4 linked regions of the Nothobranchius furzeri genome follow. The protein of the gene in region 4 interacts with the protein of the main gene of each other region in a pairwise test. Links are inferred from orthologs where the notes say so. Each region holds a gene or a part of one and is shown on either strand. Other genes may lie near its edges.

Region 1 (4,198 bases), on a different chromosome or scaffold from region 4:
GTTCGTCCTGTTGCTCCCAGTCTACGATTAAACATCTTTTAATTTTTTCATCCGTTGCCTGCTCATCTGCCTCCTGAAACCCACCACCCGCAGAACATGACAAGTGTGGGGTTGTTGTGTCTCCTGCGAGCTAATACTGCAGCGCCGATAGTTGTAATTTGACTACGGCCGGCAAAAAGCTCCAGAGTTGTTTAAAGTGATTGCAGCAACCAGATTTTACCACAGATTGTCATATTTACTTCATTTCTACATAATGCACCTTAAATGCCAACATTAGCTGTTAGTAACGGACATCCCTAAAATATAATTACACCTTTGTAAGGAAGATTTTTCAACATTGGGCACTTCTAACCATTATAAATTGTAGATTGCTCTCAATGATTGATTGATTGACTGATTGACATGATTAAAAATTCACTGCATGACCATCTCTCTCCAAGATACAACAATAGCAACTAGATGGAAGAAAGTATCAGCCAAGTTTTACTTATTGGACCGATACACAGATAAAAAACAAACATCAGCCGATATGATGTTGATGTCGATATTTCCGACCTCCCTACTAATTTTACACATCTGCTTAAAAGAATTCACCGTAAAATTTAATTATTTTACTCTGATTTAGCAGTAATAAATAAAGGATTACTAATTCTAGGAGTGATTGAAGGTTTGATGGACTCACTTGGATCTGGGATGTCGCTGCTGTACAGAGGAGAACTATAGGCTCTTCTAAAGCCAGGTGGCTACAAGACAAAGAAAAAAAAAGAAAAAATTTCAACTAAAACCTTCCATTTAGTCCTGTAGTGCTTTTTTAGACATTTAAATTCAAATGTGTGTGAGAGAGAGAAAACTCACGATTTTTCCAAAGCACTTCTGGAACTCGACATAGGACTGACACGAATGGTGGATGTTGGTCTTGCAGTTTTTACACCTCAGACAAAATTTGTTGTTCACTAAGAGATGTGCAAAGTTAACCGAATCATCATAAATCTCAAAATATGTCTCGTGATATTTTCTGGGTTAAACACGTACAGACTATCATGCGAGCGCAGACGTCACAGAACTTGGGTTTCTTGCAGTAATGGTCCTTAAACTTGTGAGGTTTGTCATTGATCCGAACAATGGGCTCGGAAGGAGGTTCTGGTTCCTTCTCCTCTACCTCCACCTCCTCCTCATAAATAAAATAGACCTGCAAGCAAAGACGAAGAAGAGAACAGTTCCATACAGGTGATCAGGACTTATTTATTAACTCATGAGATATAAACAAACACCATATTGCAGTCCCGTCCCAGCTGGAGGCTATTTTAATCAGCCTGAGAACGGCTGCTAATAGCGAGTGGTTGACGTGGTGCTGCCACTCACCGTGTCTCCTTCCTCCCTCACTACATTGTCAGGGGCTGGAGGATTGTCGTGGATGTCCACGGAGTTTTTGTCATCCTCTCTAAGAAGCACAAAGAGAAAGATGAAGACCAACTGAAGCCACCTGCCATGACTGTGGTGTAAAAACGTATCGCAGAGGGAACATCTGGATCATGTGAGGAGATTTATCAGCAAACGTTAATGTGAAAACTGCTCAAAGTTTGAAGGACATTTTTTTTTACATCGCACCTTTTCCCATCATGCACAAACATCAACCAGCTGGTGATAGGGCTCCAGGATCCAGACCAGTTACATATAAATCCAAACACACACCTTTTTGATGAGTGAACTCTTAAACCAGGAACATTGAGGAGAACCATGATGTGCTTCAACAAGATTCCCCGTTCATCACCTCAAACAAACCTGATTTTAGTCGCACTGGTAAATTTAGAGCTCAGATTTTATTTAGTGAAACCCACAGAGATGTTAGAAACATGCAGCACATGGACATGAACTGTACTCACTGATCCATGGAGTGCTGGAAATATCAGTATACTGCACCCTTAAAAGAAATCATGTACATTTTACTGTCTGTCTTTTCTCAAGATGCACTTGCAGTTTGTCAGTAGCTCGTTTTTCCTAAATGCAAAACAAGGCCACATCTTTTGGATTGCATGTTTCTTTTCTGATTTGCCTACATTTTGAAGGACTTGTTTGTTTTTAAGCACCAAACACGTTCCTGGATGACAAGGGAAATTGTTGCTATAGTTGAAATTCACTATTTCAGACAAGGATCTGGTCAAATTATTAACTATAAAGCAAGCAGAGACATAAAACATGTCTTTAGTCTCTCTCTGTGTGACATTCGGAGCTAATACCTTGTAGCAAACAGTGGTAAAGAGCATTTGTCATCCTGACCTGCTCTATTCTTGGTTTTTGAAATTTGATCTGAAAACTAAATTTAGGAACTGCTGCATGTCAGGAAAATATTCCAGACAGCATAAAAGAATTTCAGGAAAAATGAGTAAATAACGGGCTAAATGGATGTAGCATTCACACAACGTTCCTACAAAACGATTCCATTAGGCATTTTTGCTACTTGAGACATAATTAAAAATTACACATAAACTTCACCATCACTTACCAAGTTATTAGAGGTTACACAGAAAAGGTAAATAAAAAAATGCTTCCCTTCACCTGCTAGATTTTTCTGAAGTGTTATGTGGCCATTGAAGCAGAGTTTGACTTACCAACTGACCAAAATGCTCCCTCACTTTTCAGCACTTCTGGATCCAGTACTGTATGGTCCCTCTGTGTTTCCTTCAGGTTATTCCCACACTGGGCGTGAATGCTGAGTGCGACCCAGATATTTATTAAAGCTGTAAGTTTGTGTATCTATGGGTGTAATTGTGAGCATGACAGGCTGAGCACTGCTTTGTGACGTTGACAGTTTGCAACAGCTGAAGGACCTCAAACTAAGCACCAGTGACGATGAGAAATCAGATATGTTCTCTACACACACACACACACACACACACACACACACACACACACACACACACACACACACACACACACACACACATACACACACACACACACACACACACACACACACACACACGCACGCACGCACGCACGCACGCACACACACACAAAGGTATCTGTCCTGCTCATGGGCCTGTATCCCTCCATTCTTTTGGGAGACCAAGGAGAAACAACAAAAATGACTACATCTCTTTCAAAGTTGTAAAAACTATTTTATTTATATATATGTTCAAGTTGTTCTGAATGCTAGTAGATGCTGCAAAAGCTGGATAAATACATAAAAGAAACATTGATTTTTAAACAATAACTGCCATGTAACTCAACCACTCTAGCAAGCATCTTTATTCGTTGTTTTATTTCATTTGTAACAAATAATCCTATAAAGTTTTTCCTCTGTTTATATACAAAATATTTTTGAGCTGTCAGCCCAGTATTAACTCCAACTCAGAATACTTTTTTACAAAGGTGTATTTTGTTGATGTAGAGGTTAAAACGTTGTACACAAATATAATACATTTATTTGTTTGTGTATTTATTAGTTGTTTACGGAATATTATTCTGTTATGTCCTGTCCACCAAACAGCGCCCCCTGTGGATTGACGTCTGACTGGAACACTACAAATGTCTCGTTGCATGTTGGGTACAATATTCCTTACGTGCTCAGTGCGCCTGCGCAAAACAAAACTCCATTATTTTTTTCTCGGAATTTGTAAGAAAAAAACAGAGGGTAACTGTGAATTGGGGATTACACGGGTCGTTATGTTTGTCGGAATACCATTGAATGCTATGCGGATTAGCAGAAGAAAGACCAAAGCGACGGCTGGATAGGTGTGGAGCGGGAACGGGACATCCCTCTGTCTTTGTGGGACACTCTAGAACAAGTAAATATCACTGAGTTAGCCCCTCCAGTTAGCCTAGCTGGGAACGCTAGCCTCCAGAAGAACCCAGGCGTAGTAAAATGAAGCGTTATTGCCCCCTTTGTTTTTAAGTCCGACTGGAAGACGTTGACTAACATTTGAGTGCTGACTCGCCGTGCCAGTTCGTGATTTGGATTATGTAATGATTCGTTTTAGTTATTAGAGTGTTGATCGTTTTCTACGTATTTTATTTAGTATTAATTTAGTAGTCCTAACTAGCTAACTCTTGATTTTCCAGCGAACGAAAAAGAGCGAAGACTTCTAAACTTGGTGGTCAACACATAGCTTGACGCAGAGAAAGATTGTTCACAACATGTTGACGTTAGCTAACAAATATTTGTTAATAAGTGAAATGTGTGGATAAGTTTCATGAA
Region 2 (4,024 bases), on a different chromosome or scaffold from region 4:
GCAACCCGAGCGGGGTAAACCGCTGAACTCAGATACTTTTATCCCACTGGTGGAAAAAGCACAACTTTAAAGAGAGGGACTTGTTTTCACCTCCAGGGCAACCTGTGTCCTGTTTACTCAAAGTGATCGTTTTGTCAGCAGCATTTCAGCAACAGACAAGAGCAAAGCGCTCATCCCTGCAAATAAAATCAACTCTTTCTAAGTAACAGAAGCCTTTTATCCTGCAGGATGCCTCGCTGCTCCATGATGTAATTCTCCAAATGGGGCAGGCAGGCAGGCCGAGGTCTGAGTGATTGATTTCAGCCCAGCACCGGGAGAACCTGGCTGCTTTCAGAGACAATTACAGTCCTGTCCATGTGCCCGTAATAGCCCAGCACTTTAGCGTCATTAAAGCGACGCGAGGTACTGCATTATCCTTTAACCCCATAGCTGGCCATCCCCCCATTGACAACCCGGAGAGTTCAGCCACATACTTTGTCACCTGGAGCTCAACACCGCCACGCCACACCATACTGTACCACTCACGGAGTGTGCAGGGATGTGTGTGTGTGTGTGTGTGTGTGTGTGTGTGTGTGTGTGTGTGTGTGTGTGTGTGTGTGTGTGTGTGTGTGTGTGTGTGTGTGTGTGTGTGTGTGTGTGTGTGTGGGGTGATGCTCAGCTCCCTTGATGCTTTATGTAAATGATGCTTAAGCACCAAAGTACAGAGGTGAATTGTTGAGACAATTGCTGCACTGGAATGAGAATTTGAAGCTGCATCATGTTTCTTGACGACGTGTGAGGCTGAATTCATTATAAATCAGCTATAAAACAAATGAACTAAAGGCTAAAACTGTAAAAAAAAAATATATTTAAATACAAACAACATGAAAATCTGAGATGTAATTAAATTAGTTTAGCATTTTCAGACCTAATTAATTAACACATTTATTAGGATAAATCTAATTAATTAAAATGAATCTTTTTGGCACAAAACATCTCCTGATGTGTGGTTCTGGGATTGATCTAACTCAGCATTTCTTATAAAATAGATCATTTTAAACGACACCCAAAATAACTTTAAGTGTTTATTTTCTGTCCTCCATCACTGATGAGTGTTTCCATCATATCTGCATTTCCTGCTCATCTCTGGGTAGGGGATCGATGGGAAATCAATCAAAGTGACAGGTGGGATGGTAAATTTGACCAGGCTGAACCATCCTGTGAGGCTGAGCCATGCATCAAAAATACAGGAGCAACAGGGGAGGATGAAAACGACTTTTAATCAAATATTGATCTTTGCTTAAATCACTCAGATTTTATTTTTAAAAGGCTGAAATTATTTGATTTGGTGCATTCGTATACACACATCTGAGTTATTGTATTTGTTTTGTAACAATTAGGGACGTTCAGTTAATTAATTAATGTAAAATTAAACTAAGTTTACTAATTAAATTAGCCTACTTTATTCAACTATGAATTATATCTGATTCAGGCCGCAAACACAAGAGGAAACAAAGTTATGAAAACTGCTCTTGCTCTTTGAGACTTTATTGTTTCTGGAAAATTAAATGGAACTGGCTCGAGTTTCATTTAAGAAAACAAAAATATAAAATTATGTTTTCGTGATTCAGCTCTCATATCTTTGTTTACCTGTTTTATTTATATTGTTTGATTCCGAATTCATGAAACTGAAGCAAAATGTCAATGTTCAGCTTTAGTGTGCACGTGCTAAAAACTTTCACCCAACTTTTTCCATGATGCGCGCTGGTCTCTTTCGCTCCAACACACACTCCAGCATCTGCATGAAACATCCTCTTACAAACACATGCATGCATGCACGTGGACAAATTAGGAACTGTGTATTTGGATGTAGAGTGTTTGTGCGAAAAGGGGAAAATGTCTCCCCCTTGCTTGCTCGTGCGCCTTTACGCACGGTTCGGTGGGGACCTTTAAACACGCCGGAGCGCTCCACTAACCTTGCGTTGGTGCAGTCGTTGTAGAGAGTCTCGAAGTCCTTTCTGGAGATGAGTTTGCAGCGGTTCACACCGGGCTGGATGGCGCCGAGCCCTCTGAGGATGCGGACCTGCTCCACGTTGCACACCACCGGCGTGATCTCCAGCCGCTTGAGCTTGGTGTAGACCGTGTGCAGTCCGCCGACCAGGTGCTTCAAGAACAGGTCGAACGCCTGCGGGAGGCAGATGAGCTCGCAGCCGTCCACCGTGAACGAGGCTACCTTCGCGCCGCGCAACTCGACCATCTTGCACTCGTTGTTCTGCGGGATGTTCTCAACAGGAGACGGGGTCGAGTAGACGGGTTTGCCCGGCGGCAGAGCCGCGCTCGGGTTCGGGATGCCCGGACTGCCGGTGGCGAGGAGCTCCGATCGGAACAGGTTCTGTCCGGGTCCCGACGGGGGGACCAAGGATGGAGACGGTGATGAAGTTGTCGACGGCGGGGACGTGGTGGCGGAGGGAGTAGAGATCGGAGGCGGCGGGACCAGAGGAGTCGGTGGGATGAGAGCAGCCGGTACGGCCATGGTCACCTAGAGGAGGGGAAGAGAGGAGCCGAAGTTCAAAGTGGAAAACCCAGCTTGCTGAATGAAGAATCCCTCAGAGTTTAGCTCCTCAGGAGCTAACCCGAAAAAAGGCGTGCTGAGTGAGAGCTTTCTGGGGGGGTTGGAGGGGGGGCGAGCGGCGGGACAATGATCAAAGATAGGAGGAGGAATGACAGGAGGAAAATGAGCTGAAAAGTGCAGCTCCGCTCTGTGAATGAGTTGTTGTTGTCACACGGTACAGAGAGGGAGGAGCTAGGGGACAGTGGAGGGCTTTGAAGAGCTCCAAACTGTTTCAGGTCTGCGTAAAGACACAGAACTCGCCGAGTTTACATCTGTTTCCTTCTGACTAACTCCTCCTGCAGGGCTGTGGGAAAGTACCAGCCCCCTTACTCTTTTCTTTTGTTTGTGCTCTTTCGTCACATAAACAAAGTCCTGGATCAAAGATAACCTGAGAAAATATGCCACCTTCCCAGATTTGATCTAAAACACCTTGGCTCTGTGGACACCTGAACTTTATTTTGCAATTTTGTGGTAACTAAAGAGTCTCTCATCACTGTGGAGGAGCTTTGTCCCATTCTTCTTTACAGAATTGTTTTCATTCAGCCACATTGGAGTGTTTTCCAGCAAAACAATCATCAATTACAGCAAAGCAGCTCCAGACCATCACACTGCCACCTCTGTGTTTGACTGTTGAAATTCACTTTACTCCAGATGTTACACAACAAAAAGTTACATTTCAGTTCACAACATATTTTCCCCAAAGTCTTGGTGAATCATCACAGTGTTTTTTGTTAATCAAGAGACAGATTTAAAGTATTTGCTTCTTTGGCCTGGGATATTTTATTTACAAGTGGGATAATTAGTTTGGATAATTTTATTTCCCTTAGTAAATGTGTGTATTGGTTAACAAGTGCATGTTGTGTTCATTTCCATCACTTTTATCTGATAGTATAAATTATTTGCTGATCTGATATTTTTAAGTGACTAAAAAAACTAATCTGTAAGGGTGTAAATACATTCTCACAGCACATTGTCTATGTAGAGTTTGCATTCATATGATTATAATTATTTTATTTCTAGTCTGTCACATTTTCTGACTCATCACTCCTAATGAAACTGACTTTTCCTGGTTGCTTTGTTCTTTTTCTGTATAAGTGAAGTAAAATAAAATCAACATCTTCAAATTACAAACTAAAGGTTTTCAATGCAAACCATACTGTTGATTGAGGCATCTTCTCACGTGGAACACTCTGAGATGATGTGGATGTGAGGTCCCTCATTAAATCTGGACTGCAGTGATTCATCATCAACTGACTATTTTTCATACAAAAATCCTCATTCCAGGAGTGCAGCACTTGCAGTCTGCTCCAATCTCTGTCCATTTAAAAATACATGATAAAAATTGTTTTATTGTGGAGTAATAACACTCGAACAGATGGATATGTGAAGATGTAAAGTTAATTAACTCACATTTGATGGACATGAGGCAGTGAA
Region 3 (4,244 bases), on a different chromosome or scaffold from region 4:
AGCAGTCTTTGGTGAAATGCTGGGAGCAGATGTTGCTGTACTTGGTGGGTTTGAAGTTGTTCCTCCTCATGGCAGCGACCCATTTCCCACAAACATCTGGACGGGCCAAAGGAAACCTGGGAAAACACGTCAAATGGTACAACAGCTGGGGAAGTGAAGTCCTCACAGGAACGTCATTCAGATGAAGACAGGCAGTGTTGGGAACGTTACTTTAAAAAGCAATTAGTTATAGTTACTGATTACTTTGTCAAAAAAAGTAACTCAGTTACAAGATTATAAAAGTAACTAATTACCAAGAAAAATAACTACTTAGTTACTTTTTTCATTAAAGAATGCAAGAATTACTATAATAGTGAAATATAAATGACTAATGACTGGAACATAATAAAACCTGAATAATTTAAATAAATAAGCACTTAACAGGAGGAACTACTAATAGGAACATTACACTTATCTAGACTATTAAAAGGTCTCTGTGTGATATTTAACAAAAACCCAATCAGCTAACATTTAAAATTGCAAATAGAAACACCTGTAAAGGTTCCCGAGCCTTTAAATGGTCTCTCAGTCTAGTTAAATTACAGAAATAAATGTAATTTTCTACGGTATTTTAATTTTTCCAGCTTCACATAATTGTGTGTTTTTAGTAGCATTTCTGTTGCAGGTAATCTAGTAACGGTTAAATAAATAAATAAAATCCTTTAAAATGACACTAGAAGAGGCACAAGCCTGATGGAGGACTTACATTTACTAACTTGGGTCAGACCCAACCACAGAAGAGCTGAAGCTGGGTGGTAAACACACACAGGTAGTTCTGATAACACCTGAGCTCCATGACGTCTGAGACTGATGCATCAGTGTTACAGCGGGACTAAAGACATGATCAGAAACAGGTTACAGCTGGATGATCTAGGAAGGTAGAAGATCAGGACGTCTGAGAGGTGAACAGGTGAGCGGACCTTCGGGACGTCCCGCTGTCACGCTAAGAGCACGGCTGCAGACCCACAGATTCGCTACTGCAGCAGCGAATCATTCATCACGTCTTCCTCGTTCTTCACGGTCCGTGATGCTCTTGGATGAAAACATCTACCTCTTTAGCTCCTGATCAGCTGATGACAGCTTCAACACACCGCGCTGCTTAACGCACGCATTTCCTTATCAGTAACAGAAATGACGTTTTGATAAAAGAAGACGGTAATTAATTAGTTTGCTCGTTACAGGAACACTTTTTTTTTATTAACGCGGTTATTTTAAACGGCGTTATTCCCATCACTGCTCTGTTGTGTCTACAGAATGCAGCGACTGAGACCGTGAGGGTCTCCGCCCACCCGGCCAATCACCATCGTGTTTGTAAGTGCGTTACCGACACCTCTCTCTCCCTGGCTGCAGCTGAAGTGTGGCGGTCAGAAAGCCTCACGCTGCTGCTCAACGTTCGACAAGCACGTGGTAACGGTAACGGCGTTGCAGCAGTGGGAAAAGTAATCAATTAAATTATTCCGTTACCTAAAAAAGAACGCCGTTAGCAACGCCGTTATATTTAAACGTCGTTACTCCCAACACTGAAGACAGGTGAAACAGAACTACCTCATCACTTCTACTTCTAAACACAACTGGGCTCAGTAAAACCGACGGCTGCAGGTAGAAACACGAGAAGATCCGAAACGTCTTCAAGAACCGTCAGGAACCCAAACCATCAGAGGCTGAGAAAAGAAACCAGGTCCAGTGGACTAAAAAGGACCCATCCTGTGAGTCCAGTCTGCTCTAGATCAGGAGAGGATGACGGAGCTTTGGTCTGGTTCTGGTTCTGAGGACAAATCCAGACCGTCTCTACAGCCAGAGATGATTAGCATGGAGGTCATGACCTCCACCGGAAGGAGGACATGTTCTCACTCCATCAGAGCAAAGCACGGTGGTGGTGATGAAAATGAACAAACGTCAACTCAGACAAAGTGACTGATGAGTTCTGGAGGAACCAGAACCCGAGCCAGAACCAGCCTCTGTAGCTGATCTGTGAGAAAGCAGAATGATGAAGATTTTAGTGAAAAAATCCAAAATGATTCCAGCGATAAAATAAACGACTTTTAATAAAAACCTGAGTTTCTCCACGTGACCCGATGACGCCGCATTAATTACAGCAACTTTACTGAAGTACTGAATGTTTATCTAAACACCAGGAAGTGTGAAACACACCTGCGCCGACGCTCCTCCACACCTGGCCTGAGTTCTCTCCACACCTGGTTTTATGCTCCTCCTCACTTGGCTGCTGCTGCTCCACACCTGCTCTGATGCCCCTCCACATCTAGCCTGAGGCCTCGCCACACCTGGTTTTATGCTCCACCAGTCTGGACAACTGGAGGTGTTTCTGTGTTTGTAGAATAAACTGGTCCTAACCACTAGCTGCTCTGGTTTTGCTCCAACATGTCAGACTAATGGGACTACAACACCTGGACACCTGTTGAACAGGTGGTTCCTCTGTGAGGCCGCTGCTCGGACTTCTGCTTCATTCAGCACGAAAACATGAATGAATAGACTGCTGTGACTGAACGAGGCTGTTTCTGAGACCGGACCGAAGCTCGGGCGGGCTAACGAGAGTCGGCGCAGAAACACCGGAGCCGAACTTACTTGTGGAAGGAGACATCTTTGTCTTTGTGGTACCGGTTCTTACAGCCATAGGCTGAGCACGTCTGGACCATTGTTTCATCCCAGAAAACGAACCGAACCTCCGCCAAACCTCGTTGCCGTCAGTCCGATCAGGCTTCACTGCCAATAACAAACATGGCGGCGGAGACAGGGTCACCTGACCCGCGTTCTGCCCCCTGATTGGCCTCTCTTCCTGGTAACTGTCATTTTAGTGTGTGAAGCGAAACTTGTTAGAATTTTTTTTATTATAAATCGTTGCAGATAAAAAAAATAAAAATAAAATAAGTAAAGGATAAAATAAAATAGTCACAGAAGAGCAGTTGGACAAAAAACATCTTTTCTTTGAATGCTTTTAATAACTATCACTTGATTTCATACAAATATCCTTTTGTTGTCTTTTTACCGTGTCCTGTCCGGCTGTGAAGCAACCAGAACTGATGTCTGACTGCTGAAGACGAGCCTTGCAGCTTTATTCTCTCAGGTGGAGCTCACAGCTTCTGCCGTAGCCACTGCTGACACCAAAACTTTATTAGCAACACTTTCGGACACAGAGACAGCTGTGAGAGAAAGGGGGAGAGTGAAGGAAGAGGTGAGGGAGGATGAATTATATAAATAATAAATGATGAAGAAGAATCAGCTTCTGGAGAGAGAGAGAGAGAGAGAGAGAGAGAGAGAGAGAGAGAGAGAGAGAGAGAGAGAGAGAGAGAGCGTGAAAAGGAGACACACAAAAATACAACAAGACAAAACATCGCTGCTCCAACAGCATGAGGATATATAACAGTAACTGCTTATGCTGGGAAGCATACCATAATAATTCATAGTGCATTTAGATATGCAGGCAGACCGAGGCACCGCCCACCGGTAGAACAAGTGGCAGGAGGGTACGCGAAGATGTCGTAACACCTCAAGATGTCTCAGCAGAGGAGAGGAGTCCAAGACCCCACCTGACGTACATGCATCCCTCATGCTTACACACACACACACACACACACACACACACACACACACCCTATTCACTCTGGTCCTGGTACTAGTGATGGGAATGGCTCAGCTCACCAAAAAGAGCCGGCTCTTTCGGCTCCCAAGTGGCTCCTCAGATTTTCTTTTGCGCAGAATACATTTATAACCAAAATAATGCAAAACTATTTGTAAAATGATTTACTAATGTAAAAAAATGCTGTGTATCAAATATTTATCATTTCTATGGATTTAATAACTGAACACTTTAAGAAATCTCCACTTTCCGACTGCTGGCGCTAATTTTCTCACCGTCTTCGTCGCACTCTCCTCTCTCTGCCTTTTTCCTCCTCCTCATTCCCGCTCGCCTCCCTCCGCCCGCATGTGCTCTGCTGTGTGTCTGAGTCTGATCCTCCCTCTTCTCCGCCCCTACTGCTCTGTGTGTGGACAGTCTGGACACGCAGTTACACATGTTGACCAATCACCTGCAGCTTTCACCAAGGCAGGGGGGGAGGGGGAGGGCTCCCATCGTTCACTTCAAAGAGTCGGCTCTTAGAGCCGGTTCGTTCGCGACCGACACATCACTACCAGGTACTACTGCGCAGAGGACACAACCATCCCTGGACACCAGAGCTAGCCCCGTTCTA
Region 4 (4,191 bases):
AATCAAAATGAATTCATTTTTAATCACGTTAAAATGTTTAAAGATGTTCTCCATTTTGTCACATACCTCTTTGGTAAGGCCAGTTGGTTGTCTCTTTATACTCTTGTGTCCTCTAGATGAGAATTTAAAACATAAATAAATATTTTTATGATCTGAACTTCATAGATACCAACATGTATTTGAAGAGGAGTTCCACGTACAAGGCAGCCATCATCGCCTCGTGTTCTGCTGCCTTCACAGAAGCAAGTTCATCTGCCTTGGACAAAGCTTTCCCAGTCTTTTTGTCTTTAGCGTACCATGTCAGATCTTTCCCCTTTTGCCACCGTCCTACTGGTGCCTTTAAAGAGTTTCCTGGAACAAAAGGAGAATGTGCGTACAAGGAAAAAAGACTAAATCTGCAATCCAGTTTCGCTTGCATTATACCAACGTTTCTAACTCTAACCCCTACTTCACACTGGAAGAATAAGCGGCACAGAACAGCACTGCTTCAAAATAGAATCCATTAAAGTCTATGGGGGTGATTCAAACCAGCCGTGCCGCTGAAGATCAGGTTCTATTTTTGCCGTGGACCGATTCTGGGACACGTCATTTACGAAGTTAACATAGGGCTAGACAGGCTAGACACGGTTTCAGTGTAAAATGCCCGGGTAATTTTCAAAATGAAAGACTATTGCAGCAATGTCATTTCCCATATATGTAGATTACGTCAACAAATGTGAACTAACAGCTTTTTTACTCCCAGCATCGTTCCAGAAGTGCAGCGGTGTGTTTTTCATGGGTTTAATCCTGGCAGTGGAGAGAAACAGCATCATCTATGACATCAAACATGATTTACTTCTTTTTGGATTAATAGCAGATGGTATAAACAAACCGTGATCTTTGAAGTAGGGCTCGACCGATATGCTTTTTTTGGGGCCAATACCGATATAAAACTTTTAACAAAGGCCGATAGCCGATATAATGGCTGATAAATGTCCCTCATTCTCTGCCTTTTTGATACAAACTTATTTCTCTGTTACACACCAAAGAACTGTCTCAATAACTCACTAGGGTTTCCAAGTAATGCAAATAAGATTTATTAAGCAGATCTCAAAAACAACAGAACACACAAACTCAGTCACAGCATAAATCATTTGTGTTCAAAGTAGTGGAGCCACACAACATGAGTTCATAAAGCTGGTGCCATCTGCTGGATCGGTAGCACAATATCGGCCATATCGGCCATCTTTTTGGCCGATAGCCTATAGTGTTAATGACCCCAATATCGGACGATAATATCGGCCGGGCGATATATCGGTCGGGCCTTGCTTTGAAGTCTTGAGGGATTTTGTGATCTTGCAAGTTAAAGAGACAATGTGTAGTTTTTATCATTAATCTCTGGAAATATCCATCAAAATGTTGAACATGAATTAAATGAGGCCCAGTTGTTGAAAAATATTGGCGGCTTCTTAACATAACCATAAAAATCTGGTCTAAAATACATGGAAGAGGATCAAAGTCTCACGGTGACGCCATACTAGATGCTGTGTTTCCTTCTACAGGAGCCCTTGAGGACAAAATACATTACTGATTTGTAACAACTGTTGCAAAACTTTCACCATTCATAAACGTTGTTTTACACATTTACCTCTTCACTTGTTGCCACTGATGAAAGGGAGCCTGATGTGCTGCATTTTACTGAAGTTTGCACTCCCCAGGGCTTTTTGACCCTAATGGGCATCCATTATTAAAGTCTTACTCCAACACAAAAATACAGCTTCCTTGCAACAATTTAGGTATCTACTGCCCCCTATCACCAGGAAAAATACACACTGTCACTTTAAGCGAGGCAGAGAAGCCGGTCCATGGCTGAGATTCTCCCAGTGTGTACTGGCACGCAGCGAAAGTAAACCGTTCCGCACTGCTGATGCCTCCAGTGTGAAATAGGGGTAACCTTTCATTTCTGCTCATACTGAACCAGGATCCTCTGGATGTTTCTTCCTCTTAAAAGGGAGTTTTCCTCTCCACTGTCGCTACATGCTTGCTTAGTATGAAGATTGCTGCAAAGACACTGACACAAGTCAGTGACTTGATGCAATCTGCTGGAAACTTTTTACTGACTGGCTTAATGAACTGAACTGTATTGGAATGTTAACTTTGTGAGACGAGTCTTCTCTTGATTTGGCACTATTTAATAACCTGAATTGAATTATTTACTGAATAAACTTAGGAGTGGCATAATGTTAAATATTAAACATTTCACTTGTAAACATTTATGCAGTCTTTGAAACACTTAAGATCTGGTCTGGTAGTCTTGTCTTCATGCATGACCATGAAAATCTTTTAAAGGTTCATATCTAATAAGGAAAAATGTGTGCAGCATCTCTTAGAGAAACTCCACATTTGTAGCTTAGCATCCATGAGTTCTTTATCAGACAATGTTAACATCAACAACTGTCAAGATGGACCTGAACCCCAAAACACAACATTCCAAACAGAAATGTGACTTTTGATCCCATTTGGGTCACATTTGCGCTGACTGCTACGTAGCTCGTGTCTGGCATGCTGACTAGCTAGTTGGCAGCGCTCAGGGGGAGCGGAGAGCCTACCTGCTTTCTGTTCAGGGTTCAGAGGTGGAAAAGAAAGTAGGGTCCTGCTGTGTGTAAAGTAGAAAGTAAGACGCCATAAAAACCATCCAAGATCTGTGTAATGAGGGACTCCAATACAAAAGGTATGGGAAGACGCCTGTGGGGCCAAAGTGTGCATTTTAACACGATTTGAACTATCTCGCTCAGTTGCTTGCTTGCTCGCCCACTCTGGCTAGCACTGATAGCGCAGCTAGACGCACGTACTTACCGAGATAATTTTCTCTGTGTTTATCGACTTTCACGTCATCCCAGTTAAACTGATCCTGGCCTCCTCGTAAGCCTCCGGATCTCGAAGAACCAAACATTTCTGCAGTTTGAGTCGAAGATTTGGGAGAAATGTTTCGCACCGTTAGCAGCTAACGTTAGCCGCAGGAGCTGCGCGATTAGGCAGGCCTTCAGCGTGCGCTCATCCGGGGAATTGTTTGGTGAGTTTTATGGCAAGCAACTGTAGCATATATTCAAACCAAACTTTTTTTTCTCTTTTCTTTAGAAATGCCTGCTTTTTTTCCTTTTAGGGGAATTTTGTTCTTATTAGTCAAACTATTCATTACAATTATCTGAAATACTTAGCTAAGTATTTGTATTTTAATGCCCCTTCAAAGGAAATTCTATACAGAGAAATGTGTTAAGGATCTCTGAAACTCAGTCCACACTGTAAATGATAAATGCCTATTTAATTTTTTTGATTACTCCTTTATTGTCATTATAATAATTGAAGGTAGTCCCACATACCAAGCCAACTTGCACCGCAAATAGGGTTACGTCATATCGATGTAGATAAACATGGTACATTTTGATAAAGACACATTTAAGGTGCAAAAACATAGCACAAGAAGGTAGCAAAGACAGATAAAGCATTTTCTAAAAATGCATTTCATAAAATTGTGCTAAATAAATGAAAGAAGATGCAAACTTTTTCATTTTGTCTCATCATATCATGTTCTCATTAGAAATCCTAATTTTAACTGCCATTTGTAAAAAAACTGTTGCTGCCCTTCTTTTCTCTTCATGTAATTTGGATTTAACTTGTCTTAATGGAAGTTTTTAATGTTTTTGTACATATTTAAATTTATTTTAGATATTTTAATAATCTCCAACGTTTACTTGAGTAGTACGCAGCCGAGTGCAGACAGGATGATAATCAGCTCTTCCAAATCTGAGACCATGGTTTTGAGTCAAAAAAGGGTAGAATGCCTTCTCCAGGTCAGGGACTAGGTCCTGCCTCAAGTGGAGATGTTTAGGTATATAAGGGTGTTGTACTAGTAATGCAGCCTGTTGTGGTGTAAAGAGAGAGATGAGCTGGAAGACTGGTCCATGTACATTCCGACCCTCATCTATAGTATGGTCACAAGCTTTGGGTATTGACCGAAGGAAAGAGGTTGCAGACACAAGTGGCCAAAATGACGTTTTCTCCACAGGATGTCCAGAATTTTCCTTAGAAATAGGGTGAGAAGCTCAGTCATCTGGGAGGGAATCAGAGTAGATCTGGTTAGGATGCCTCCTGAACTCTGGTGATGTTTTCCAGACACATCCAACAAGGAGGAGACTTAAAGGGAGACCCAGG

Evidence for each region.
Region 1: the proteins of c11h1orf35 (region 4) and stac3 interact in binary tests that used the Homo sapiens proteins (3 or more experiments, as listed by UniProt). The two-hybrid records come from large-scale screens. The link is inferred for Nothobranchius furzeri from reciprocal best matches to the Homo sapiens genes C1orf35 and STAC3.
Region 2: the proteins of c11h1orf35 (region 4) and dachd interact in binary tests that used the Homo sapiens proteins (3 or more experiments, as listed by UniProt). The two-hybrid records come from large-scale screens. The link is inferred for Nothobranchius furzeri from reciprocal best matches to the Homo sapiens genes C1orf35 and DACH1.
Region 3: the proteins of c11h1orf35 (region 4) and thap1 interact in binary tests that used the Homo sapiens proteins (3 or more experiments, as listed by UniProt). The two-hybrid records come from large-scale screens. The link is inferred for Nothobranchius furzeri from reciprocal best matches to the Homo sapiens genes C1orf35 and THAP1.

Annotation. Positions count from the first base shown.
Region 1 is NC_091755.1:32,734,719-32,738,916, reverse strand, and holds the start of stac3 (SH3 and cysteine-rich domain-containing protein 3), read right to left. Parts: upstream 2,809-4,198; 5' UTR 2,610-2,808; intron 1,922-2,609; 5' UTR 1,892-1,921; coding exon 1,884-1,891; intron 1,442-1,883; coding exon 1,363-1,441; intron 1,190-1,362; coding exon 1,033-1,189; intron 954-1,032; coding exon 856-953; intron 744-855; coding exon 683-743; intron 1-682. UniProt on the Homo sapiens protein: Required for normal excitation-contraction coupling in skeletal muscle and for normal muscle contraction in response to membrane depolarization. Required for normal Ca(2+) release from the sarcplasmic reticulum, which ultimately leads to muscle contraction.
Region 2 is NC_091754.1:28,370,452-28,374,475, reverse strand, and holds the start of dachd (dachshund d), read right to left. Parts: upstream 2,809-4,024; 5' UTR 2,513-2,808; coding exon 1,956-2,512; intron 1-1,955. UniProt on the Homo sapiens protein: Transcription factor that is involved in regulation of organogenesis. Seems to be a regulator of SIX1, SIX6 and probably SIX5.
Region 3 is NC_091746.1:71,097,260-71,101,503, forward strand, and holds the start of thap1 (THAP domain-containing protein 1), read right to left. Parts: upstream 2,809-4,244; 5' UTR 2,694-2,808; coding exon 2,623-2,693; intron 881-2,622; exon of another isoform or gene 748-880; coding exon of another isoform or gene 746-747; intron 117-745; coding exon 1-116. UniProt on the Homo sapiens protein: DNA-binding transcription regulator that regulates endothelial cell proliferation and G1/S cell-cycle progression.
Region 4 is NC_091751.1:49,802,846-49,807,036, forward strand, and holds the start of c11h1orf35 (multiple myeloma tumor-associated protein 2), read right to left. Parts: upstream 2,811-4,191; 5' UTR 2,746-2,810; coding exon 2,589-2,745; exon of another isoform or gene 2,570-2,588; intron 352-2,569; coding exon 201-351; intron 113-200; coding exon 67-112; intron 1-66.